7 linked regions of the Mus musculus genome follow. The protein of the gene in region 2 binds, or shares a complex with, the protein of the main gene of each other region. Links are inferred from orthologs where the notes say so. Each region holds a gene or a part of one and is shown on either strand. Other genes may lie near its edges. The genes, in order: Cwc22, Bud13, Sf3b2, Snrpd1, Ppil2, Sf3b5 and Scnm1.

Region 1 (3,500 bases), on a different chromosome or scaffold from region 2:
AGGCTGCCACTGGCAGCAGCCCTTGTCAGTATCTGGACTGACCTAGTCAGTGGCTCTAAGCACCGATCCCCAGCAGTTGCCTGCCTCGGTTTACCCGCCCCATGGATGCCAAAGCTAGTACTTGGCATTCTGGCACCCTGACTCACTCATCTACTGCTTTACTGCTCACGAAATTCAAATGAGATCTGTTACCAGTACTGTGTCGTGTGCATTTCCATAGTTTCATAATTACATTGTTTGTATGAGAGGCTAACTGAGGAAAGTTAGGCAAAGGATATATGTGGATTGTGATTTCCCTGTAAGTGTGAAGTTAGTTAAAGATAAAATATTATAAAACTAAACACATGAACTTGTTAAGAAAACAAGAACCAAACTCCCTCAAGTTTAGGGAAGGTAGAAAGAAATGCAGAGAAGTAAGATGGGCTGTAGCCACCTCCTCCCGGGAGCATCTGCTGACCCAGGGTTGCTGCTGAGGGAAAAAAAGCCAAAAGAAAACAGAGCTCTAGTAGCCTCACAGACACAAATGTGAGCTACTTAACTTCAAATATATACATCCAACACAGACACACACGTGAGCGCACGCACGCACACACACACACACACACACACACACACACACACACACACACACACACACGCACACACACACACACACAGAGAGAGAGAGAGAGAGAGAGAGAGAGAGAGAGAGAGAGAGAGAGAGAGAGGGAGGAGAATACAGTACAGCTAAACCCTAAAACATAAGAAGTTAACTCAAAAAGGCGGGAAAAGCCAGATTTGAACAAAAGAGAAAACATCCAAATGGCCAATAACAATGTTATGCTCAGTTTTATTAGTGATGGAGAAAATGCAAATTAAAATGAAAGCTGTAAGGCAGTATCATCAACAGGATGGTTAAAAATCATACAGTAGTGACTCTATAGCTACATAACTAAAAAGAAATGGACAATGGACACATGGGCATTCCTCAAGTTAAGATGAGATTATGTCTTGAAGATGACATGTCATAAAAATGTTTTTAATAGGGCTGGAGAGATGGCTCAGCGGTTAAGAGCACTGACTATTCTTCCAGAGGTCCTGAGTTCAATTCCCAGCAACCACATGGTGGCTCACAACCATTTGTAATGGGATCTGATGCCCTCCTCTGGTGTGTCTGAAAAGAGCAATAATGTACTCATATACATAAAATAAATAAATCAATAAAAAATGTTTTTTATACCCCCAACCCCCAAAAAACACAATTTAGTACAGCCTTCCTTAAGCATGCCCACAATACCTGTTAGTCTTTAGGTAGAAATCACACAAGAGTTACTCACACATAGGAGCTCAGGAAGAGAGAAAAATTCAGACTTCTAAGTACTATTTCTGTTGACTCTACTATACAGCTTTTGTATCATTGTAAAGTTGAAAAACCAAGAATACAAGCTAATGATATATATACACATATGTATATATGAGTATATATACATACATACATATATTATATGCACACGTATATGTATAAATATGTGCACACACACATACATACACACACACACAAAACAAAAATGCAGTTCAAGGCTAGCCTGGACTGTGTAGTGAGGAAGATACTATATATGTAAATTCATTAAAAGATGCACATAGGACATCAGACATGAATATGTACAGCAACTAATGTAGGTGGATCAATATAAATGTAAGACTATTTTGTGAACATAACAATGAAGGAAACATTAGATACAAAGAAGTTCATAATTAATAATTATAAAATTAAAACATGCATGAAGTATAAGTCTCTAAACCCAGCACTTGAGAAGTAGGGGCAGAGAGGATCAGGTTCAAGGCTAGCCCCTGCCAGACAGTAAATGAACAGAAAATCTAGAATGCATATAAAACTCCAAAAAACAAATGAAACAAGACATCCAACAACAAACAAGCCAGGCAAACATTGGGCAAGATGACGCTTATAGCAGGACTGCTGAAAACCCAGCACTCGGAAGGCTGGGGCTCACAGAGACTGCAGTTCAAGATCAAACTGGGCTGCACAGTGAGGAGAAGACTAGCTTTAATTATGTTGTAAGACCTTGTGTCAGCAAAACAAGAGGCAAGACTAAGTGATGGACTTACAAATCAGAATCTGGGGAAAGCTAGGTACGGCAAAGCCCCCAGTGAGCCGTCCAATGAGTACAATGATGTCAAGTAGCCACATAAAGCTTGACTACAACTAAAACCCACATGCCTTGTAATAAAGCCTCAGGAGGGCCCTGTAAACACATGGACATCCCTGGAATCGCAGCTGCCAATGAATTAGCCCTGTCTAAGAGGCTTCTGAAACAGATATAACACTGCAGACTGTCAGTGACACATGACCATCTCCAATAATAAATGTTTTAAATAGATGGCAAAAATAAGTAAGCAGCAATCGAGCCCTGCAATTGTTAGAAATGAGCAGGGTAATACCTGAATGAGCCGTGATACCTGAGGTAGAGCTCTGAGTGCTGGAGGAGGAGGAGGAGTCGCTCGCATCACTAGAGGACTCTGAGCTGCTCTCGCTGCTGTCAGATTCTGAGTCAGAGGAATCAGACGCCGAGGAAGACTCTGAAGATGAAGATGTCAGGGCTGGTTTCTTTTGTTCAGCTTCTGGTTTCTGGGCTACGATGACCTTGGGCGTATTTTTCAGATGTTCTCGCAGTTCATCCCTAACACAGATGTAATGTGTTACACTATGTATACCAGGCACTTGACATAATGTTGTAACTAAAGATAAAATTCTGCAAATGATCCTTACGTCAATCCTCCGAGACCTATGGAAGTGAAGAAGTTGATGGCAAACCGGGTATTGCGTGGGTTGTCTCTGGGTAACAGACCTTCAAAGAATGGCTGGAGAGTTCTGAAACGGAAAAAGGAATGAAGGAAATGGAGAAAGTGCAAATGAAAGCGCCTATAGCCACCTATCAGAATTTCTACCTGTTAAATCAGTAAGTGAAATATAAGAAAGTGGTTTATGCATTTATACATAAGGCTCCCTAAATATAATAGGTAATGAGGAACAAGTCACTGAAGTTCGTCTCTTTAAAAAAAATGCCTTTGCAGTGTGTGTGTGTGTGTGTGTGTGTGCGTGTGTGCGTGTGTGTGTGTGCGTGTGTGTGCGCGCGTGTGTGTGCGTGTGTGCGTGTGTGCGTGTGTGTGTGTGTGTGTGTGTGTGTGTGCGCGCGCGCAGGTAAGAGGACATGTGGGAGGTGGTTCTTCCCTTCCACCTGTGGCTGTCAGGGACTCAGCTTATTTCAGACTTGGTGTCCTTTAATCACGGAGACATCTCACTGGCCCTTAAAGTTGATTTCTGTAATTACACAACAGATTTGGAAACTTTTTACACACTAAGATAGAGATGGCAAATAACATATGTACATGGTTATATGCACACAAGTATGTAGTGTGGGCATGCACAGAAAAATGTAAAGGCCTTCCATAGCTTTTCTTTTTATGTACATATGTATGCACATCTAAACTGTGTAGAAGCA
Region 2 (3,500 bases):
CCACACATTCTGACCTAGTAAATAACTCCATAGTTTTCTAGGAACCTATCAGTTAAATCCCCAGGAGATCTAAGATAAGAAATAATACAGGGGGCTGGTGAGATGGCTCAGTGGGTAAGAGCACCCGACTGCTCTTCCGAAGGTCCGGAGTTCAAATCCCAGCAACCACATGGTGGCTCACAACCATCTGTAACAAGTGACTCCCTCTTCTGGAATGTCTGAAGACAGCTACAGTGTACTTACATATAATAAATAAATCTTTTAAAAAAAAAAAAAAAGAAATAATACAGGGCTAGAGAGACAGCTCAGCAGTTAAGAGCACTGACTGCTCTTCCAGAGCTCCTGAGTTCAATTCCCAGCAACCACATGGTGGCTCACAATCATCTGTAATGGGATCTGATGCCCTCTTCTGGTGTGTCTGAAGAGGGCAATAGTGCACTAATATATTTAAATAAATAAATAACTCTTAAAAAAAAAAGAAAAAGAAAAAAGCAGCAATCCCAGTTGTGCTATCAGTGTATGTACATGATGATTGTCAAATATCCTCAGGGCAAACTCAGGGAAGACTGGTAAGTGGAGCGAGCAGGCAAGAATCCACAGGCAACAAGTATGCTCTGTACACTCAGGCCCAACTACGCCCAACATGCGTGCCCAAACCACCTAAGGACACCGGCTACAACACTAGCAATGACGTTGTCTAAATGATACAATTTTGTGACACTGCTGTGTCTATACATTCCTGTACGTCAGTGTATTTATTATTACTGTATGTGTGCATGTGTGTACATGATCGCAGACATACACATGCGGAGGTCAGAGGACAACTTTCAGGGGTCGGTTTTCTCCTTTTACTGCAGTGGTGAAGACAATGCTTTACCCTCTGAGCCTCTGAGCCCACCCCATCTTTGCCTTTTTATGGGGAGGGTGAGTGAGCAAAAGGACATGAAACTTTCCCCCCACCCTTTTATTTTTCAACTCCCCTAAGTCTAGTCTCTCTTTTTTCAAAACTTTCCAAAAGAAACTCATTCTTACACTCCCCAGGAGGAAGGTCCTCTTATGCATAGCCTTATGCTCACCTTTAGAATCAAGCTGTTTCTTAGCTTCAAAATGAGCCTTTGCTTGCCGTTTCCGTGGAGGAGAGAGGTCAGAGTCGTGCTCGTACTTGCTGTTGGTGGAGAGTGATGGGTGAGAGGGTCCTAGCCCACTCTGGGATGCAGCCTTGCTAGGGGCTCTTTCTGCAGCTTTACTACTTTTGGCTTTGTGCAGTTCCAAATCAGGGGACTCATGATGGGCCCTCCTGAGATGCTGTGTACCTGAAGAGTCAAGAGTCCTTCTATGCTGGGCTGCAGTAGGGGAGTGGTTATGGGTCTGTCTCGGAGAAGAGGTACCTAAGGAACCATGATGGCCTCTCCTAGGAGATACGGCTGAAGAATTACGATGAGACTTCCTGGGGGGAGAAGCATCTAAGTCATGGCGGACTCTCCTGGGAGGAGATGGATCCGGGGTGTCATGGCGGACTCTCCTGGGAGGAGATAGATCCGGGGTGTCATGACGAACTCTCCTTGGGGGAGATAGATCCGGGGTGTCATGACGAACTCTCCTGGGAGGAGATGGGTCTGGGGTGTCATGACGGGCCTTCCTGGGAGGAGATGGGTCTGGGGTGTCATGACGGGCCTTTCTGGGAGGAGATGTGTCTGGGGTGTCATGACGGGCCTTCCTGGGAGGAGATGGGTCTGGGGTGTCATGACGGGCCTTTCTGGGAGGAGATGTGTCTGGGGTGTCATGACGGACCCTCCTAGGAGGAGATGAATCTTGGTCATCGTGATGAAAATGTCCATCTTCACCGTGGCCTAAACACAAGAGCAAACAGTAAGAGTCCCACAATGTGCTCTGGCCTAATGGCACAGAGGGTAACAAACCCCACTTAGGAGACAATTCTTTTGTCACCTATGTATAAGAAAAGAGCAAGCACCAGGAATATTCTATAGTTAAATAGATCTCAAGAAGTAAGATTGAATCACAGTGACCTAGACTATAGACTGAGACCGTCTCAAAGGTTTAAAAAAAAGAAAGGAAGGAAAGGAAGACACAGGGGATGGAGGAGAAGATGGGAGAGCCTTGTTTATGGAAAGTCAGGAGAACAGAGAAATAGTCACAAAGTGAAAGACAAAACTCTGGCTCTGACCACAGGAGCTGTTTCATTCTAGAACCGTGGAAAGGCTGGTCTCCAGGCTCTGACAAGTCAGCCTCTAATGTTCCATGCCCTTCTTCTAAAGTCCTGACATCTTTGTCCCATCATGTTTTTCATCATCACTGACATAAAACAAACCAGGCATTCCCCTAAGGCAGGGAAGCAGAAGGAACCCATCCTGGAAATGAGATGTGCAGTTGTGTTGCTGCTGACACTCACCTCCCAGAAGCTTCCACTTGGCACTGGAGCGGAAGGCCTCCATCTGCTTTACCTCTTCTGGACGCTCATCCACAAACTCAGCCACCTGCAGGAGTAGGGGCACTACAGTGAGGAAACCCACAGGACCCAGCCAAGGATCACTTGTCTCAAGAACCCAGAGCCATAGCTTACAGGCAGAGAACTGCCTGCTTCTCCTTGTGATCGCATGACTGACTTCTACTGCCCATCATGAGACTATCATACCAAACAGTGCTAGCCGAAGATCAAAAATTCAAAACCATTTTCTGCTGAAAATGTATCATGTCCACACCACTGCACAGTCAAAACATTAAGTTGGAGCAGGGTGTGGTGGCGCACGCCTTTAATCCCAGCACTTGGGAGGCAGAGGCAGGTGGATTTCTGAATTCAAGGCCAGCCTGGTCTACAGAGTGAGTTTCAGGATAGCCAGGGCTACACAGAGAAACCCTATCTCGAAAAACCAAACCAAACCAAACCAAACCAAAAAAAAAAAAAAAACATTAAGTTGGGACTGTCTGTCTGTATAAGCACCATGAAGGAAACAGTGCCACACAGCTCTCTTGAGGGTCACCTCTCCCCTTGCTCAGTGTCAAGTCTGAGAAGCCTGGATCATTTCAAAGTCCTGACAAAAGTCTCCACGAGATACATACCACAGGCAAATCTCCATCCTCTTCCTCCTCCTTTTCCGGCTTAGCAGTAGAGATAGCCGCCCAGCCCACATCATCATCAACAATCCGCATTCTAGATGAGAACAATAAAAACTCAAAACGGAAGTCATGCTGTAACACGGGCCTACCTACCTGTTGTTCTTTACAGATGGTTGTGAGCCACCATGTAGTTGCTGGGGATTGAACTCAGGACCTCTGGAAGAGTAGTCTATACTCTGAGCCATCTCTCCAGCCCCTTACCTGTTGTTCTTTGACATTTAGAGTGTGTGTGTGTGTGTGTGACAGTGATGGTGTATATATGTGATATGGCATGCATATGGAGGCCAGAGGACAACCTGCAGGAGTCAGTTCTCTCCCTCCGCTATGTGGGTTCAGGGGATGGAATTCAGGTTGTCAGGCTTGTC
Region 3 (4,019 bases), on a different chromosome or scaffold from region 2:
CATCCACAAGCAGGGCACACATAGTGTGCTAACTCCTGGACTACAGAAAAGATGGAAGCACTAGAACCTATTTGGTTATCAGGTAGCCTCCAAGGCAAATTTGAATGAAGCATCTTGGTTTGGACATTAAATAATGTTAAATGGCATCCTCTGGATAGAGCAAGATGTCAAGTCAGAGAGAAAAACATCACCGTCTTCCAGTACCCCAAGAGTTCATGTTGCTTCAGTGAATCTCACACTAGCAGCAATAGGGCCCAGGCCAATCTGCCAAAATACTGGCTTCCTGGGAGTCTAACTATACCTACGTTCTAGTCTTCAACCAAGACCTTCCTAAAAGGCTTGGCCTCAGGGTCTAGCTTTCTCAGGCTCCATTTCCCCGTCAGGGACCTAATGTGTCCCAGGTACAGGTTTCCACCTGTCCTACCTGCTTGGCACGCTCCTCTTGCTGCATCAGCAAAGCTGCCTGCTGCTGTGCCAGCTTCAGCCGTTCTTCTTCTGACAGCGCCACAGGCTCACCCACTCGAAGAGGTGGTGGGGGCCCCAGATTTGGTGGGTGAGCCATAGGAAAGCCAAGGCCAAGGCCTGGTGGAGGTGGTGGAGGTGGTGGAGGAGGCTGTAGAGGGGGAAGTCCCATAGGTGGTGGTGGCATAGGAATCCCAGACAGCTATGGGGAAAAAAATACAGCTATGAATTAGAAAGCATTTATTCAATTTATAAGCATTTGCTAGAGACCTAGCAAAAGAGCCAGATACTAGAATTTGAAGTCTAATGACGTAGGATTCAAGAAAATACACCATAAAAGAATCAAAAGATGCTAACTTTAGCACACTGATCAAAGCTATTAGCTTCTCTGAAAAAATATGAGGAACATTCATATTACATTTTGCATTCAATTTAAGGAGGTACAAGGACACCTCTAAAATCCATACAGGAACTTCACAAAACACACATACACAAACACACCAATAAACTCCAGGTCAAAGCCACAACTTTAGAGGAAGAGAAACAAATACTAGAATCAGAAAGGACTTAAAGAAATAGGAACTAGGGCTGGATAGATGGCCAAGCAGTTAAGAGCTGCTCTTCTATAATATCAGGGCTCAATTCCCAGCACCCCGATGGAAGCTCACAGTTCTGTAACTCCAGCCCCAGAATGACCCAACGCCCTTCAATGGCCTCCTAAAACACTGCATGCACGTGACGCACAGGTAGAAACTTGGACAAAATACAAATTCAGACAAAACACTTATATACATAAAAATAAGTTAAAAAAAAAGTAATAACCAACATTCCAAGGCATAGGATATCTACGTTGTACTAGATGCAGGGAGTATATTATTCAAGTCAGGGCATTATCCTTTACCGTTTCAATAACTTTGGGAGCTATACCTGGCAGGAGAAAGCATGACCACTTCCAGCTGAGAAAGGATCAAGGAACATTTCCAGATATTCTAGTGGAATCTTGAGTGATAAGTCAAATTTGGAGGAGTAGACATTGGGGATTAAAACAGTAGCAGCACTAAATCAGAAGTGAAGAGGTCACAATTTTGTCTCCTTAGACCTCACCCTTAACTTACGGTCCCATCTGCTAGCTCAACACATGGCTATCCTGAGCAGAAAAGATCCTCGAAGCAATCTCTTACCTGTGCTGACATAGGAGGAGGAGCCGCTTTGTCCCCATCTTCTCCTCTCAAAACTGGTCGATTCAGGACAATGCCCGTCTACAAGAAAAAAGAGAGCTCTAGGTCAGACTACAAGGACGTATTCCATTACATAACCTCCTCTTCCATTTATTTACTTAACAAAATGTACCCAGTGCCCACTTGACAGAGACTGGGGCTGGAACCTGAGAAAAGCAACAGGAGTAGAAGTAATTACAATAAAGCAAAACCAAGAACTGACAAAATGGTCAAGAGCCGGCTTGCTGCGTTGAAGTACACAAAAAAGACCTAGCCCGGTGTGCTGGAGCACTCGGAAGGCAAACGCATTAGGATCTCTTAAGTTTGAGGCCAGCCAGGGCTACACTGAGAAACCCTATCGCGAAAGAACAAACAAAAAAAGTATATGAAACGAAGATCCAGCCGCGGAGTGGTGGCGCACGCCTTTAATCCCAGCATTTGGGAGAGGCAGGCGAATTTCTGAGTTCCAGGCCAGCCTGGTCTACAGAGTGAGTCCAGGACAGCCAGGGCTATACAGAGAAACCCTGTCTCAAAAAAAAAAAAAAAAACCAAAAAAAAAAAAAAAAAGAAAAGAAAAAGAAAAAAGAAAGAAGAGAAGAGAAGAGAAGAGAAGAGAAGAGAAGAGAAGAGAAACGAAGATCCATCCGTGAGTAGTCTTAAAGGCCTCCAGGAAAAGTGAGACCTAGCCTGCACTGACAACACTCACCTGACGGGTGTAGGTCTGCAGCCGCTCTACTAACTCCTCGCGACTCCCTATAGGACGAAGCACAGAATCAGGGGGTCAGCATCACCTCGAGCAGGCCAATTTGGCGAGGTCAGGTCCCACAGGCCTGTCTCCGCCCCCCGCCCCGTGGGTCTCCTGGGTAACCAAGCTCCACTTCGCCACAAGCCCACGCAGGGCCCCTCTCGACCGCCTCTGCGCCTCACCCTGGATCGGCGCTCCTATCTCTGCCAATCTGGCCTGAAGCTCCTGCGCAGCCCAGGCTCCATAGTGGCCTGGAGGTGGAGGCGGTGGCAACTGCAACTCTCCTTTGGGAGGTTCGGGATGCTCCGCCGCCATCTTAGCCACAAGAAGGCGCGAGACCAACACGGAAGCTCGGGTCAGCCGCCGGGCCTACTTCCAGAAACTTCCGGTTGCGTAATCCACGTCCCGCGGTGATTGGAGAGAACTTGGTCCAAACACACGCCCTTTCCCTTACCGGGGAATAGGAATCGCCGCCAACGGAGGTTGCAGAGCCTTCTGGGAGTTGTAGTTTGCGGATGCGCCATCTAGAGGACGAACGCTCGCTATGACATCCGGTATGCAGCAGTAGTAATACATCCGCTGCCTGGCTGCAAGAGCTTACTCTACCCAGAGCAGATGCATTCTTCTTCTCTCCTGGCCAAACACATACTAAGTCTTCTGTCCCGACACCCTTCAATGATGAGAGACCTGGGTGCTTATTTCTCCTAGGAGCTCATAGAGATTCCTTTCCGGCGCCCGAATGGGAGGTTGGTGCCGATGGCTCTGATAAAACAGTGTTTGTCTGCTCACTCCCGCCCAGGCGTGCTTGAATGGGCTGAAAGGGGATCGGAGCCGGTGGAGGAACGGACCGCCAAGCTGAGTTCCAGCTGCTGACCTGGGGGAAGGGCACTGCTAAAATAAAATCCCCTTTTGCACCTTCGAAAAAGTCTTAAATAAATGTATTCTCTGTCAAATGCTTCCTTCCCCCTTTCGAGGAATGTTCATTAATACATTTTCCACCTTTCAGGTGTTTTATTATATGTATATGTACCGCTTGCATGCCTGGTATCTGTAGAAGCCAGAAGTGTCAGATCTGGAACTGGAGTTACACTTTTGTGAATCGAACCCAGGTCCTCTGCAAAAGCAACAGTGCTCTTAACACCAATTCTCAAGCCCCAAGGTTTTTGTTGTTTAAGACAAATGTGTCCATATGTGGCCCAGGCTACCCTAGAACTTCTGATCCTTTGCAGGCTACAGATATATACTATCACACCCGATTTCATGGAGTGGAAGATCAAGAGTCATGTAGTTCAGACTGTCTTGGGACAAAATCGAGCCCAAGCCAACCTCTAGCTCTTGGCAATCCTCCTGCCTCTGCTTCTTGAAAACTGGGCTTACTGCTGCCAGCTAATCCATTGTCTTTGTTTCATTTTTAAGTCTTTCCTGTCCTTTATTCCCACCTCCATTCCCCCAAACAGGATCTGGAACTTGATCTTCTTCTATCTTGAAGTATTTAGCATCCAGGAGGCAGCTAATAAATGAGTTGGGAGGTGGGGGTATCTAACCTGGGGACTTTATATTCTTGTAGGAAAAACAAAAAAACCTCAGGACCTTTC
Region 4 (4,131 bases), on a different chromosome or scaffold from region 2:
AGCTGGCCCCAAGTGGAAAGGGGATTTGGGGTTAAGGAACACCAGGTGATCAGTACTGGCATTATTGCACCAAATGATATGCACAATGTATCCTTATAAAGCATACATTTTAATGGAGGGAGGTATTTAATTGTTCATAAATATCAATCAAGAACTGTAGATTTATCTTGCCATTACTAAAATTATTTTGAGTAGAAAGTATTAAAATTACCCCTGAGTCACCCTGGTTGGCTTTCCAGCATAAAACAGACAAAATCATTCGAGAGTTGTGTGAACCTTTCTGCCCAGACCTTGGACTAAGAATGTACCTGGCTCTGATTAGCTTAAAATAGACAAGGTATAATCTTATTTGGCTGAAATCTCTTTTTAGGGGGAAGGGAAGGTTCGAGATAGAGTTTGTGGCCCAAACTTGGACCACCATGCCTAGCTATGAAATAACGTTTCCCCTGTTTTATAACCCACATTACAAGGACCTCTGCTTTTCTTAATGTCCAGGCCCATTGTTCTGTTATAAGTCACCCTTAAGCTGCACACTGCAATTCTGGACTTGCCTGCCTCTTTCTTTGGTCTCATTGATCCTTGGGACCAGTTCCCATACATGGGGACAGGGGTGTTTGTTGACAAAATCACGTTCCATGTAAGCAGTTTTGGAGAGCGCAGAAAGCAGTTGTATTTCCTTGCTTTTAGACACGATATTCTCTCTAGAGCCATAAATAATAAATTATAGAATCAAATGATAATAAACTAATATCATCCAAATTCTTTCAAAATTATTTGCACTATGTTTGTAATTAGAGACAAATGTATATGTTGAGTAACTACATTTAACAGTGTGGTTATTGCAAATAAGGTGTTGAATTTTTTGTTTTAACTTTAACTGAAATATCCACATACATTTTTTTAAGTCGAAGGACTTGCTATATATAAAATTTATTTAAAACTCTGTCCTGAGAGTGGTTTTTCTAGTTTTAAGAAGGTACCCTGCATCCCCAAAGGAAAACCATTCTGTCCAAAGATTTGATTGGCTTAGCTTAATGTCAAGCCAAGTAAGGACATCTTGCAGGACCGAGTTCCCTGCTTCCAACATGTGAATCCCAAGTATTAAACTCGAATCTTAGTGGGCTTCTTTCAGAACTTCTCTTCCTTTAACATGTGAAAGTTCCAGGCCTTCACAAGTAGTTTTAATAACTTCGTAACTGGTCTAAAAAAACCTGCAGAAGATGTCGTCCACCAGCCCTCCCGCCCTCCGAAGGTGCAAAGCACTCCTCCCGTCGCTAGGGGCCGCTGTCGCCCTCCCGGTGGCCGGAAGGCAGCGCAGCTTCCGCGTTCTCGTCGCGCGTCCGCAGGCCTCCGCGCGCTTTTCCGGCCATTCATAACCCCAGTCCGTGGATCTCTGGAGCCTGAATTCTGTGAACAGTCGGGCCAGAAGGGAGAACTGCGTCGCTAGGATGAAGCTCGTGAGGTGAGGAGGGTACCCCCGCCGGGCGAGGACGACGGGTAGAGGATTTGGGGTCGGCTCGGGAGGCCGGGCCGCTGTGCTCCCAGGGAGGCGGGAAAGCCGCGTGCGCGCGGCCTGCTAACGGCCTCAGGCCCCCGGGCCCCGCCGCGCCCTGCCCGCCGCCCAGAGCCCGGGCGAGGGGCCAGCGCGCAGACCCCGCCGGTCTTCCAGGAATGGAGGGGCCGAGCCGCCTCTGCCCACCCAGTATCCGGCAGCTTAAACGGAGCAGTGGCCCGTTTTCTTGGCGAATCGGACCATTTGCACTGAGGAGGACTTAGTAGACCTAGCATGGTTTTATCTGCAAATGATGACGCCGATTTGCAAGACGTTTTAGACTAAGATCTCCTTAAATTTGACCAGTTATACGAAGTATGTAAGTGGTTAGTGTAGGCTTCTAACTCAGGAAAGACAAAATGTCCTAGGATGGGGCAGAAGGTAATAAATTAATTTCGCCTGCATAGTTAATATCGGAAGTGGAGCCTAACTAGAGGCATGCTGGTTTAATTCAAATGAACAGGCTTGGGTCAAGCCTGAGGCAGGTTATACAATATCAAGCAAATAACTAGAAATATTTAGTTTCTTGTTGAGTCAAGACTGTTGTAGTTGGCCAGAATGGCATTGAACACCTTCTGAAGTAGTTGTACATAATTCACAAGAATTCTTTTAAAACATTTTTGAAGTTTTTTTAACGGTGACTCATAGCCTGCTTGAAATTGGAAAAAAAAAAATTACTTCAGGAGGAATTTGAGGGAGAAGGCATTTAAGGTTAAAAAAATTTTCCCCTGTTCTGGGGATGGCACGCAGAGAGCTTCTAATAGTCACTTAACCTTGAGCTCAGCCCCAGTTCATTTGTATTTGGACTGTAACCTAGGTAGAATGCTAAGACTTGCCGTTTCTTTACTCCCTGATATGAACTATAATGTATTTACAGTAACATGTTCATCTCATTTAAAGGTTCTATTATGATAACTTTGCCAGCATCCTAGGCAGGTGCTCACTCTCCTGCTGCTGCTGCTTTGATTTGTCTTGGACCCTATTTTGTATAGCGCAAAGTATAGAGATTTCTAATTACAGGAGAATTTTTTTTAAAGATGTATTTATTTTATGTATGTGAGTACACTGTAGCAGTACAGATGTAGCAGTTGGGGCCTTCATGTGGTTGTTGGGAATTGAATTTTGGACCTCTTCTCGCTCTGGCCCAAAGATTGATTTATTATTATAAATAAGTACACTGTAGCTGACTTCAGAGGGTGTCAGATCTCATTACTGGTGGTTTTGTGAGCCACTATGTGATTGCTGGGATTTGAACTCAGGACCTTTGGAAGAACAGTCAGTGTTCTTACCTTGCTGAGCCATCTCGCCAGCCCCCAAGGGAGAATGTTTTTTGCCCTGTGAAAATGGTTGACTGGTTTGCACTTTTGGTGTGGGCTTTCTTATTTGTGCATGAGTTTTGTATTGGACTGTATTGCCTGTATTTATCCCGTTGCCACCTTGCCCAAACTTAGGAAGTGTGCTTAGCTACCTTTCTCTTAATCCTCCTGGCGTCTGGTAAGTTGCCAGGTTTCTTAATTTTTCTAACTGGAGATACTTCTCACTATCCAGTTCTCTTTGGTTTTCTATTCAAATAGGAAAAATTTGGGTACTAAAAGGACCCCATACACTTTACTGTTTGATGTGCCAGTCTCATTAAGAAAAGAATTCACAGCTAGGTGATGGTGGCCCATGCCTTGAATCCTCACACTTTCTCTGCGTTCAAGGCCAGCATGCTGTACAGCGGGAGTTCTAGGACAGCCAGGGCTACACAGAAAACAAAAGTAAGAAGAGAATTCACAAAATGAAGGACTCACTGGAAAATAATTTGAATTTATGTGTTCCTTGGCCTCTTTTTACTTTTATATTGAGACAGGGTCTCACAAGTTGTGCTGCCTGACTTGAAATCACTCTATCTCAGCTGACATTAGATTGAGAATCATCCTGCCTCTGCCTCCTGAGTGCTGGGATTAGAGGCCTTCACTGCCACCAACCAGCATCTCTAGATAGCATAAGGGAATTTTTGTTTCGTTTTGTTTTGTTTTTCGAGACAGGGTTTCTCTGTGTAGCCCTGGCTGTCCTGGAACTCACTCTGTAGACCAGGCTGGCCTCCAACTCAGAAATCCACCTGCCTCTGCCTCCCAAGTGCTGGGATTAAAGGCATGACCACTGCCTTGCTCATAAGGGAATTCTTCAGCAGAATATTTTCTTCACAAAAGGACCCTGTTCTCCCCACCTCCTCCTTTCTGAGTGCTGGAATTAAGTCTTTGCCACCGTGCCTGGCAAAATACTGTTTGTAATGTAGTAGTTTAAGGTTGCTGAAACGTTCAGCCTGTACTTGGTGTGTGTTACTATAGAAAAGTCGTGCTACTTACTTTCTCATGGGAGAATGGAATAGGTAATATCACTCGTGTAGTTTACTGTAGTGGATGTTATAGGAGTGCACAATGGATATTGTAGAAAAATAAGTAGACTGGAAAATCTGAATATGAAGTGTTATTAGATGATATTGTAGATTATCATTCCATTGCCATTTGGCTAAAATAAAGCATGAGTGATAATGTAGAATTCCTGGTGGGTTACATTCCTGAATATTAATAGAG
Region 5 (3,500 bases), on a different chromosome or scaffold from region 2:
AGCTGTGTTCAGCTTGGGAAATTATAGATGAACTTTGGTTTTCCACATTTTCCTAGAAAATCCCTATGTGGGAGACTCCACCTCTGCCTTCCCCATGGCTCAGGCTCTCCAGACTTCAGTCTACTTGGGAGAAAGACAGCACCTATCGGCTAAATGTGCTAAAGAAATTCCAGCACCACAGCTGTAGCTACGGCATAGGGCAGAGAAGCATGCTCGTCCCCGGTAGGGCCCAGGTAAGGGCTGAGACCTTAGTAGCTATAGCAACCCTAGCCCTCCCTGCCATCACAGATCTGCACACCCTCCTATCTCTGTCCTGAAATGTAAAAGCTGCCTTTGGAACACCAAAGAAAGCGGGAACATTGGTCACTGAAGCCTGTGTCAGGGCCAGTAGCATAAGGCAGCCCTATTTCTGCTGAGCCACTGTTGCCATGGGACCCCAGCTTGTCAACCATTCCTCCACCCCAAGAGTGTGCTATTCCCTCCTGATCTGTTTGGGGCCCAGTCACCCCAGCAGCCCTGGAGGGCCCAACAGCACTGGGAAGGTCCCTGCCACCATGCCAGCAAATGCATCTAGGCCCCGTGAGCACCTCCCCTGGGATCTTTCTCGGTCAGGCAGAGTGCCCCACTCACCGCATTCAGTTGGTCCACCTTCTTCTTCTCAGGTGGCCTCATGGTAGCTGCTAAAATCTCATCTCCTTTGAACTCTTTGTAGAGCTCCTGTAGCGTCTCTCTCGTCTCCGAATTTGTGTTTTTCAAATAATAAGATGGGTCTTGTTTGGCCTTTTCCTCATCTATAAAACAGTATATTGGAACGGAGCAGCCAAGGCCCCAGAAAACCAAGGCCCCAAAGAGCCTCAAGATGAGCTAATAGGAATAGAGATGGGGAAGGCCACATGAGAAGAAGCCACAGGTGAGTTGATTAGGGCAGGGTTCGCTGGTCTTAGCACAGCCATGACTTACTGCCCTTGATCATCTGGCAGGAGCTCTAGTAGGTGCAACAAGGGGGTTGGTGGAGCACACAGAAGACGCTGTCATGGTGAGTGGCCCCAGGCCTGAAGGGATGTGGGAGTCACCCTGTTTCCTGTATTACCTCTACTGCAGCCTTTTCACAATGATGTTTTGCTTTTGTGAATTTAAACGTGTTTATTTCAAGGGAAGGAAGGCCACATGTTGCCTGCTAGGCCAAAGGCTGTAACTTACTGGGCAGTGAGCTTCCCTAGGCCTGGCCTCTGGGTCTCCTGAGCGCAGTTATCCCTGAGTTGTGTGTAGCTGGCTCCTTGGCATGGCACAAGTGAGCTCAGAAACTTGAGCCACTGCATAGTATGTTATAGTACATTACAGTATGTTACAGTGTGGTCAATGGTGTGGACCAAGCACAGGAAGCAGGAAGGTCAGGGCCCTAGACAAGTCTCATGTCACCCAGTCTCACCTGCAGCCCTGTCACTGTACCCTGGAAAGAACAGTGGCCAACGGCAATCCAGAAAGCACAGTCCCACCAGAGCTAGGGAAAGGTAGGTGTCTGTGTTTCAGCTGCTTCTCTAACCGTCTGACAGACATGGTTGTGTACGCTTGTAATGCCAGCACTTAGAAGGGAAACACAGGAGGATGCTGCACATTTAAGGACAGCCTCATCTATACAGCAAATGTCATGATAGTCAAAAGCCACTCAGAAGCATAGTGTCTGGGCCCCCCAGAAGGAAGGACTTGCCCGAGAACATGTAGTCACTCACAGTAGCCTTTAGGTGTCCATACCTGGGTCTATTATTCTCATGTTATTCTTCACATGGAAGAAGTTGCTAACATTGAATTTGTCCAAATTGGTGGGGTCCTGTGAAAAGAAGAGAACACTCAGAAGTACAATGGACTGTGTCAAGCACTTCACCCACCTGTGCCAGATGTTGAAGGCTGGAAGGAGGCCAAGGCTGTGCCCCAACCCAGTGACAAGCAAGATGGCACAGACTGCCTACCTGTTCATCAAGCAGTGTGCCCTGCCTTAGGCCTCAAAAATAAGGAATGAGGCTTGCTGCCAGGTAGCACAGGATGTGGACTGGGAAGCCATTGGACCAAGCTTCAGTAACAACCACAGAGTCGTTTAACCCTATCCTAGCCTGTGCTCCCTCGAGGCCATTCACACACCACCACGGGGACAACTGTGTAGCTGCTGTTCTGAGAGTAGGGATGGGACCTGAAAAGCAGCCTAAGTGTCCTAACACCTAAGAGAGTTATGAGGCAAGTGTAGCCCTCATACAGGAGCCATGAGAGCCAGAGGCAGTCATGGTCCATGGTGGCTGTAGGGGGAGGGGGTGGCACTAAGCAATAGTTGGGTAGCAGCAGGCAGGGGTGTTATGGTACAGGTGACCACCAAGCCTGGTGAAGAAAGCTGGGGGGCAGAGTGCAGAGCAGAGGGCAGAGCGGAGGGTCAAGGCAAGGCACTTCCTGTGAAGCTCTTTACCTGCAGGGTGATGATGTCTTGCCTGGAAAAGGGCTCATCAGTCAACAGATCCCGCAAGTTCTTGGCCTTGATGTTTAGCTGCTCCACTGCCTAGAGCAGTACAGAGATATCACAGTTCCTCTGGGCCGGCACAGAGGTATGAGGTAAACAAGCACACAGGGCCACTCTGGGGTAGTCTCAAGAGTTCTCACCTGTCTGGCAGAGACTAGCCAAACCAACCTGGCCGCTTCTGGCAAGAGTTCCAACATGGGCCCTCCTGTATCATGCCTGTCCTCATCCTAGACTGAGCCAGGAATGGAGACAGCTCATGTCCCTCCTGCCAACCTGGCCCCTGTCCTAAGAACCTGGCCTCTTTTTATCTCCCTTTACTCCCATGTTTGTTCCAGAGTCTGGTCCATGCTGAAGAGAGGGTAATACTTTCCAGGCTACAAGGAATCCTTGCTTAGGCAGCCCAAACTGCCAGCCTGGGTTTGAGGTCCAAAGGCCACTAGAGTCACCTGACCTTTATTTTAGAGATAATGTCTTGTGCTAGAGGCTACGAAAGGTATGAGGACAGGCATGCTCACTGTTCCTGGTTCAACCTCAACACTCAGCCAGGCACACGTTCGGGCCCAACATTAGATAGTCCCACTCATTGCAATGGGGGTCTACCTCATAGGTGTAGACATTGCCAGTTGTCCTGATGGCCACAATATGGGTGTTGTCAGTGAACACGGAATACAGCACTGGACAGTGGTACTGCCCTAGAGAGAAAGCACACACAGGACTAGTGGCCCTCAAGGGCTTTGATTAAACAATCATGATAGTACATATTTTAACTGTAGCTACCCAGGAAACTAAGGCAGAAGAACAGAGTACAAGGCTAGCTGGACAATCTACCACGACATTGTCTCAAAGTGGAATTCTAAAAGGGAGTGGCAGCAGGGTATTTGCCTAGCATGTGCTAAGTTCTACATCCAACAAGTACCACAGGAGAGGAGAGAGGGAAGAAGGGAGGCTGGAGGGAGACAGGGAGGACGGGACAGAGGAGGAAAAAAAGAGACGGAGG
Region 6 (2,519 bases), on a different chromosome or scaffold from region 2:
TCTTGATTCCTTAAAATCTGTTCTCAAATGACATCTCAGTAAAGTAGCATTGTAAGCATGGTTTTTAAAGTTGTAAACTCTTCAAGCTGGCATAATGTATGCCCTCAAACCTTTGGAAAATGCTCTGGTGAAAAGGGAAGAGGGGTGGGGGGAATGGGGCGCTGAGCAGGATGGGGACGTGATACCACTTGTTTGCCAGTTTATCATTTCTGAAGACACAAAGGGTAATCATCAAGAAAAAGGGGTAAGGGGTAGCGCATAAAGGGAAGGGTAGGAAAGGGATATGGGCAATCTCCGCGCTTCAAGGTTTCTTTGGGACCAGACACACTGTACGCGTGAAGACTATTGAGGTGGGATAATATCATAAAAGTGTGTGTGACGACTTAAGGACTTGCCCTGTGCTTCTGCCCCCATTTCCTATTTATACTCTCACAAAACCTTGATCCACAGAACCCTCTCCTAATAACCTCCCAAAGAACACAGCAATCCATACCAAAGAATAGAGCAAACCCTAAACTTTATATATATATGGTTTTTTAAAAAGGCAAGAAGACATCAACTATCGAAAAGCAGACTCGAAATGCGCATCACTCTCGTGCAGTCTTCTCCCTCGCTTGCCGATGCTGGGATCACTCCTTCTGCACAGTTCACAAGGAGCGGACCCGGACAGTCTCTCCATGACTTGTTCCGAATCCTCCACAGGTACGCAGGTCAGGCGACACAGCCAACACGGAATGGTCGAGATGCAGGAGCAAGGAGGCTCGCAGCCGGCACACGGGGAAGACTGGGCAGCGCTCACCTCAGTTCTCCTCGGGCTTGTCCGCGGGCGGCCCGCTGGGCTGCAGCATTTTCTCCATCAGGTTGAACCGCACGCGGGCTTTGCTCTCGTTCTCGGCAATGGCGAAGTAGTTGAGGAGGTCGAAGTGGCCCATGTAGGAGCAGTAGGAGTCGCGGTGCTGGTTCACCAGCCATTCCCACTTGGTGGTGTCGGCGTGGCCCGTGCCGATGTACTTGGACTGCAGATGCTCCAGCTGGCTGTGGATGGTGTACCGGTCCGTCATCGCGCCGCTCTGCTCGTAGGCTCCGAGGTCAGGACACAGACGAGAAGCTGCCGCTCGCGGCGTTCAAGTGAGAGACGCTGCCGCTGCCGGTGCCGCCGCCGCCACGCAAAACCTCAGTTCGTGCAGGCGCGGGAGAAAGACGCCACCGAGACGCAGGAGTAGACAGTCTTTTCCTAGGCGGAAGCGGAAGTGCCGTCTGTCGCGGGATTGGAGTTGCCTAGGAAACACTGGGCCGTCTCCTCACGGAGCCCGCCTACTTCGAAGAGTGTTGCATGATGGTCCGCTTAGTGGCTCTCGGGTGATCACGTTCTAGTCTGAGCGTTGCATTCTGGAACAAGTAGTCCAAAGAGTTTGTTTTAGGGTTTTGTTTTGTTTGTTTTGTTTTTGCCTGGCTGCTGTAGGACGATGGCAAACGGCCTCTGAGAGTTATCCCACGGCTCTGGGCTACTAAGAAGGGGAAATCCAAGAGGGTTTCAACTACAAGCAACCAGGAAAATTAACTCTTGTACCTAGAAGCTAACGTGGCAGCATGGTTCCCCCGCGGTCCCAGCTTTGTCTCTTAGAATTTGGGCACTGGGAAAAGTATTTTTGGTGATCAGTGTCAGCCCCAGTAGTCTCACTAATGGCTCCCACAACGAGCTCCAGGCTCCCGTTTCTCAACCCATTGAGGGGTTGTTTGCTCTAGGTCACTCAAAAGCTATTCCTTGAAGTCAGATGTGGTTCAAGACTAGATAGATAGATAGATAGATAGATAGATAGATAGATAGATAGATAGATAGATAGATAGATAGATAGATAGATAGATAGAAAGAACACCTCTCTTTCTAGTCACCTGTGTTTTTCTGCTGATTACTGCCTTACGTTGGGGGTTGTGCACTTTCTCACGTTACAAACAACTCAGAAAAGATAATTGTACTTCTTTTATGGTATCCCTTAAGGATACATGTATAGCCTGATGTAGATTGTACTCTCAAAAAACCATTTTAGGAATGGGGTAAGAGCAGTCACAGCCAAAGAGAATGGACAATGACAGACAATTTGAAAATACAGGAGTTTGGGGGTACTTTTGTTTACTTGGTGGGGGGAGGATCTGGCCCTGAGCTCACAGCAATCCTCCTGCCTTTGCCTCCTGAATGCTGGGATTAGAGGTGAGTTCCGCTCCATCCAATATTAATTCTTCTGTTTAAATTTTGTCATAATAAGCATCATGCCAGGTGGTGGTGGCACACACCTTTAATTCCACCACTTGGGAGGCAGAGGCAGGCAGATCTCTGAGTTCAGGGGCAGCCTGGTCTACAGAGCTAGTTTCAGGACAGCCAGGGCTACAAGGAGAAACTCTGTCTCAAAAAAAAATAAAACCAACCAACACCAAGACTTAGACAACATAATACACATCTTATTCCTAAAATATAGAGACTATACGGCAATACCTGTGGATATGCCATCCAGCCATACTAT
Region 7 (4,089 bases), on a different chromosome or scaffold from region 2:
CTGATCTGGATCTTGGCATGGAGATCTTGAGGCACAGTGGCTGTGAAAAGCTTAGGTCCAGGCAAGGTATAACATGCCTTTAATCCCAGGAGGCAAGGAGAACTCTGATTCAAAGTCAGCCTGGGACAAAGCAAGTCCCAGATCCAGGTGTGGTGTACACGCCTTAATGTAGGCCACACCTTCTGCTGGAGGCCTACATAAGACCACTGGAAGAAGGAAGACTCACTCTTCTTCCACTGCTTGCACTTACTTGCCAAGCACATCTTTAGAACCTATTTATACAAGACCAGCTGAAACAACCAGCCTTGTGGGACTGAGCAACTATTAGATTCTTAGACTTCTCATTCACAGCTGCCCATTGTTGTAACCCAACAACATGACTACAAACTGTAAGTCATTACAATAAATTACCTCAATATAGACAGATATTCCATAAGTTTTGTAACTTTCCATATTCCTTATGCTCTAATACATAGTTCTAAGAGTTTTTTGTTTGTTTGTTTGGTTGGTTGGTTGGTTTGGTTTGGTTTTTCGAGACAGGGTTTCTCTGTGTAGTCCTGGCTGTCCTGGAGCTCACTCTGTAGACCAGGCTGGCCTCAAACTCAGAAGTCTGCTTACCTCTGCCTCCCAAGTGCTGGGATTAAAGGCGTCGCCACCACTGCCCGGCTGGTTCTAAGTTTTTGTCTTAAGATTTTCCAAGGCCAGGCATGGAGTGCTCACCTTTAATCCCAACACTTGAGGGATAGAAGCAGGCAGATCTTTGTGAATATGAGGTCACCTTGGTCTAAATAGCAGGGTTTCAGGACAGCCAGGGCTACAAACAAACAAAAAGTACACCACCGTGCTCTACTAATGTTACAATTCTCTCTTTTTGAATGTATTTATTTATTGCACTTTTTAAAATATAGGAGTGCTCTGTCTGCATGTGTACCTACATGCCAGAAGAGATCCCTTTTGGATGGTTGTGAGCCACCATGTGGTTGCTAAGAATTGAACTCAGGACTTCTGGAAGAGCCCCCTGCGTTCCTAACCACTGAGGCATCTCACCAAGCCCTAATGTTCCTAATAAGTATGATTATTCTACAATTTTCCACTTGCTAAAAAATTTATTTTAAAATCATAAACCACCGGGCAGTGGTGGTGCACGCCTTTAATCCCAGCACTTGGGAGGCAGAGGTAAGCAGATTTCTGAGGCTAGCCTGGTCTACAGAGTGAGTTCCAGGACAGCCAGGGCTACACAGAGAAACCCTGTCTCAAAAAACAAACAAACAAAAAACCCAAAAAACAAAAAACCTGAAAAAATGATGGTTTACGATTTCTTTTATATATATGAGTACACTGTAGCTGTCTTCAGACACCCCAGAAGAGGGCGCCAGATCTCATTATGGATGGTTGTGAACCATCATGTGGTTGCTGGGAATTGAACTCAGGACCTCTGGAAGAGCAGTCAGTGCTCTTAACTGCTGAGCCATCTGTCCAGCCCCTACCATCATTTAAAAAAAATATTTCCACAAGATTATTATTTCTCAGAATACAATCTGGAGAGCAATAACTTTAAAGTCATCTATTTCCTTCTACCCTTTTCCACTCCTGGCTTTCCCATTCCACGGACCTGTGCTTCCTCCGGCAGCAACTGTTATAGTGGGGAGCTCTGTGTAGAGCATTCTGGGTGATGATTCGAGTCTGGGTTAGCAAAGGAGCCTGGTGATGAAGAGACAGAGTTAGAGCTGTTAGGAGCAAACGTTCCCTCAAGCCTGTTGTGTGAAGTATAGCCCTGTCTAAACCACACCTGATGCCCTCTCACCTCAGTTTTGCTTTCTGTCTTCAATTCGTTCTGCTGTCTTGGATTTTGCTCTGTTCCCTTGCCTGTTTGCTTTTTGCCATAGAAAAGCTTCAGACCTGAGAACAAAAGCAAGGAGGAATGAAAAGCACAATGCCTGGTGGCTTGCTCTCCATCTCCCGCCCTCCCCACTTCTCTGATACTTACTGGACAAATGCTTCTTGCCTGCACGGTGGGCTGTCAACATGGCCAGCGTGTCTAGTACTGGTCGATGGGGGCAGATGGCACAAGCAAAGCTAGGGAAACGAGAAGTGAATGATGTGTGTGGTGTGTGGTGTGTATGTTGTGTGTTCGAGAGCCTGCAGTCGGGGTGTTCTTGCTATGGTGAGTAGGTCCTACTTCTGTCAGAGTACTCCACCACCAACTCCCAGGTTTCCCGATCTCCACCCCTTACACTTCACTTCCAGCCAAAGAGTCCTATTATACTCCTGAACTCCTTAGTGACAAAAGTTTGTTGAGCCTTTGATCCCCGAATCCCCAGGCTTGATCCACTCTTCGCTCTCACCGTCCATCCCGCAGCATCAGTGCCTCGTCCTCAGGGATGTAACTAGCCAGCAGGTCCCCAACTCTCCGTTTCTGCAGGGAGCAGGATAGGAGAAATGAGTAAGAGGGACGGATGGAAATGAAATAGTATGGATAAGGAGTCAAATGGCACACGGGGCTATGCAGATCATAGGGTAGTAGGGGTCACCACTCAGTTCTGGTCCCCTAAGCCCTCCCCTAGATGTCGCCAGAGCAACAAAACAAAACAACAGGGCGGCTGAAGGTGATCAGACTCTCACTAAGGCTTACTTTGAGCACATTGAGTTGACTCCAGTCGTCCCCTTCCCTCTTAAAAGACATAGCGACTGTGAGACTACGATAAATTCCCCTACGCCTACTTCGCTGCTCCTTTAGGCCACCGTAGAAAGAGTACACTATCGCCTTCTCTGCTTCCGGTTTCTTTCTTGTTGAATCTGTACTTCCGGGGATGATGTTCCACGCTTGCGTCGCGCGAACCGGAAGACCCGCCTCCAGCGCCCTGAGGGGGCCTGCATTTCCTACAATACTTTGAGACGCTGTGCCTTTTGGGAAATGAAGTCTTTTGGTTATTTATTTTATTTTTTTATTTTTTTGAAGAGCACACTGCTCACCTGGACACAGGACCTCACATCTCGAAGGATCCAGGTGTTCGGAGACTCAAGATCCTGTATGTGGAGCCGGAATTTCAGGGTGGGACCTTCCTGATGTGGAGCGAGGCGTCAGGGATCTCAGTGGACTATATACTACAAACTCTTGCTGTCCTCAGGCTCGTACTCCTCAGCCACAACCTACCTGGGGTGGGCCTTATTTGGAACAGAGAGGATGTGGGAGCACCCGGCATCCCGACTGTTGGATGTGGGGATACACTGAGGGAAGAGTGTTGATGAGGGTGTCTAGGGTTCAAAGGTCAGAGATCAGGCTTGCGAGGAGTTGGGGAGGGGGCGTCGAAAGTCAACCGGGTCAGCGACTGACAGCTCAGGGAAGATACTTATGGGTAAGGAGCTCGTGGAAAGAGAAATGTAACCGGCCTGGCAGACTTCTTAAGAGACGGACAGTAACTCCAGGCACGGCAAGAAGCAGCAAGAGGAGGACGACGAATGTAGTCTCTCGAGAGTCGGGAGACTGTAGAGAGACGAGAGAAGAGAAAACGAATTATCTGAATATCCATTCCTTGGGTTCGGCCGTCACTGTTACTTAGCTGGGCTTCCCTCAGTTGTGACCCTAGGTCTTGACAGTGAGGAGATGGCTTCTCCCTCTAGACAGCCTCCCCTCGGGGGGTCAGGGCTGCTGCATGGGAGCCGTGCTCGTTCTTATGGAAGCCTGGTACAATCATCCTGCTCCCCAGTGAGGGAAAGACGCCTGGAGCATCAATTGGAGCCTGGAGACACCCTGGCTGGATTAGCACTCAAATACGGGGTAACGGTGAGTCTTCCAGAATTGAGATAGTCCCGAGAAAGTGGGTGGCCCGCTAAGATGCCCCCTCTCACATTATTTAAATTCTATTATGGTCTGTTTTTTTTCTTCCTTATTTTGCTTTCACATCTCAGCAGAGCACTGTTGGGACAGATCTGCCCAACTATCCCAGTGGGAGGAGCAACTCCTGTAGATGGTGAGGGAGGTGGGTGAGTGGGGGCGGGGCTTACAGCCATTAACTGGACTTGTGTCCCTATCAACTTAAGACTGATAAACCAGTTTGATCAAGGTCGAATCACTTAAGTGTCAGAGTA

What was found.
Region 1: Bud13 (region 2) and Cwc22 share a complex: the UniProt entries of both Homo sapiens proteins name them as parts of the minor spliceosome. The link is inferred for Mus musculus from reciprocal best matches to the Homo sapiens genes BUD13 and CWC22.
Region 3: Bud13 (region 2) and Sf3b2 share a complex: the UniProt entries of both Homo sapiens proteins name them as parts of the minor spliceosome. The link is inferred for Mus musculus from reciprocal best matches to the Homo sapiens genes BUD13 and SF3B2.
Region 4: Bud13 (region 2) and Snrpd1 share a complex: the UniProt entries of both Homo sapiens proteins name them as parts of the minor spliceosome. The link is inferred for Mus musculus from reciprocal best matches to the Homo sapiens genes BUD13 and SNRPD1.
Region 5: Bud13 (region 2) and Ppil2 share a complex: the UniProt entries of both Homo sapiens proteins name them as parts of the minor spliceosome. The link is inferred for Mus musculus from reciprocal best matches to the Homo sapiens genes BUD13 and PPIL2.
Region 6: Bud13 (region 2) and Sf3b5 share a complex: the UniProt entries of both Homo sapiens proteins name them as parts of the minor spliceosome. The link is inferred for Mus musculus from reciprocal best matches to the Homo sapiens genes BUD13 and SF3B5.
Region 7: Bud13 (region 2) and Scnm1 share a complex: the UniProt entries of both Homo sapiens proteins name them as parts of the minor spliceosome. The link is inferred for Mus musculus from reciprocal best matches to the Homo sapiens genes BUD13 and SCNM1.

Annotation. Positions count from the first base shown.
Region 1 is NC_000068.7:77,901,357-77,904,856, forward strand, and holds part of Cwc22 (pre-mRNA-splicing factor CWC22 homolog), read right to left. Parts: intron 2,870-3,500; coding exon 2,768-2,869; intron 2,679-2,767; coding exon 2,440-2,678; intron 1-2,439. UniProt on the Homo sapiens protein: Required for pre-mRNA splicing as component of the spliceosome. As a component of the minor spliceosome, involved in the splicing of U12-type introns in pre-mRNAs. Promotes exon-junction complex (EJC) assembly.
Region 2 is NC_000075.6:46,286,012-46,289,511, reverse strand, and holds part of Bud13 (BUD13 homolog), read right to left. Parts: intron 3,170-3,500; coding exon 3,079-3,169; intron 2,496-3,078; coding exon 2,411-2,495; intron 1,851-2,410; coding exon 1,077-1,850; intron 1-1,076. UniProt on the Homo sapiens protein: Involved in pre-mRNA splicing as component of the activated spliceosome. As a component of the minor spliceosome, involved in the splicing of U12-type introns in pre-mRNAs.
Region 3 is NC_000085.6:5,292,656-5,296,674, forward strand, and holds the start of Sf3b2 (splicing factor 3B subunit 2), read right to left. Parts: upstream 2,801-4,019; 5' UTR 2,740-2,800; coding exon 2,607-2,739; intron 2,433-2,606; coding exon 2,386-2,432; intron 1,722-2,385; coding exon 1,644-1,721; intron 665-1,643; coding exon 425-664; intron 1-424. UniProt on the Homo sapiens protein: Component of the 17S U2 SnRNP complex of the spliceosome, a large ribonucleoprotein complex that removes introns from transcribed pre-mRNAs.
Region 4 is NC_000084.6:10,616,465-10,620,595, forward strand, and holds the start of Snrpd1 (small nuclear ribonucleoprotein Sm D1), read left to right. Parts: upstream 1-1,331; 5' UTR 1,332-1,448; coding exon 1,449-1,462; intron 1,463-4,131. UniProt on the Homo sapiens protein: Plays a role in pre-mRNA splicing as a core component of the spliceosomal U1, U2, U4 and U5 small nuclear ribonucleoproteins (snRNPs), the building blocks of the spliceosome.
Region 5 is NC_000082.6:17,094,253-17,097,752, forward strand, and holds part of Ppil2 (RING-type E3 ubiquitin-protein ligase PPIL2), read right to left. Parts: intron 3,196-3,500; coding exon 3,104-3,195; intron 2,543-3,103; coding exon 2,453-2,542; intron 1,829-2,452; coding exon 1,753-1,828; intron 792-1,752; coding exon 631-791; intron 1-630. UniProt on the Homo sapiens protein: Has a ubiquitin-protein ligase activity acting as an E3 ubiquitin protein ligase or as an ubiquitin-ubiquitin ligase promoting elongation of ubiquitin chains on substrates.
Region 6 is NC_000076.6:13,007,165-13,009,683, reverse strand, and holds Sf3b5 (splicing factor 3B subunit 5), read right to left. Parts: upstream 1,235-2,519; 5' UTR 1,062-1,234; coding exon 801-1,061; 3' UTR 501-800; downstream 1-500. UniProt on the Homo sapiens protein: Component of the 17S U2 SnRNP complex of the spliceosome, a large ribonucleoprotein complex that removes introns from transcribed pre-mRNAs.
Region 7 is NC_000069.6:95,131,213-95,135,301, forward strand, and holds the start of Scnm1 (sodium channel modifier 1), read right to left. Parts: upstream 2,801-4,089; 5' UTR 2,684-2,800; coding exon 2,633-2,683; intron 2,417-2,632; coding exon 2,346-2,416; intron 2,077-2,345; coding exon 1,988-2,076; intron 1,900-1,987; coding exon 1,805-1,899; intron 1,702-1,804; coding exon 1,613-1,701; intron 815-1,612; coding exon of another isoform or gene 775-814; exon of another isoform or gene 594-774; intron 1-593. Other genes in the region: Lysmd1 (lysM and putative peptidoglycan-binding domain-containing protein 1), read left to right, coding at 3,605-3,784. UniProt on the Homo sapiens protein: As a component of the minor spliceosome, involved in the splicing of U12-type introns in pre-mRNAs. Plays a role in the regulation of primary cilia length and Hedgehog signaling.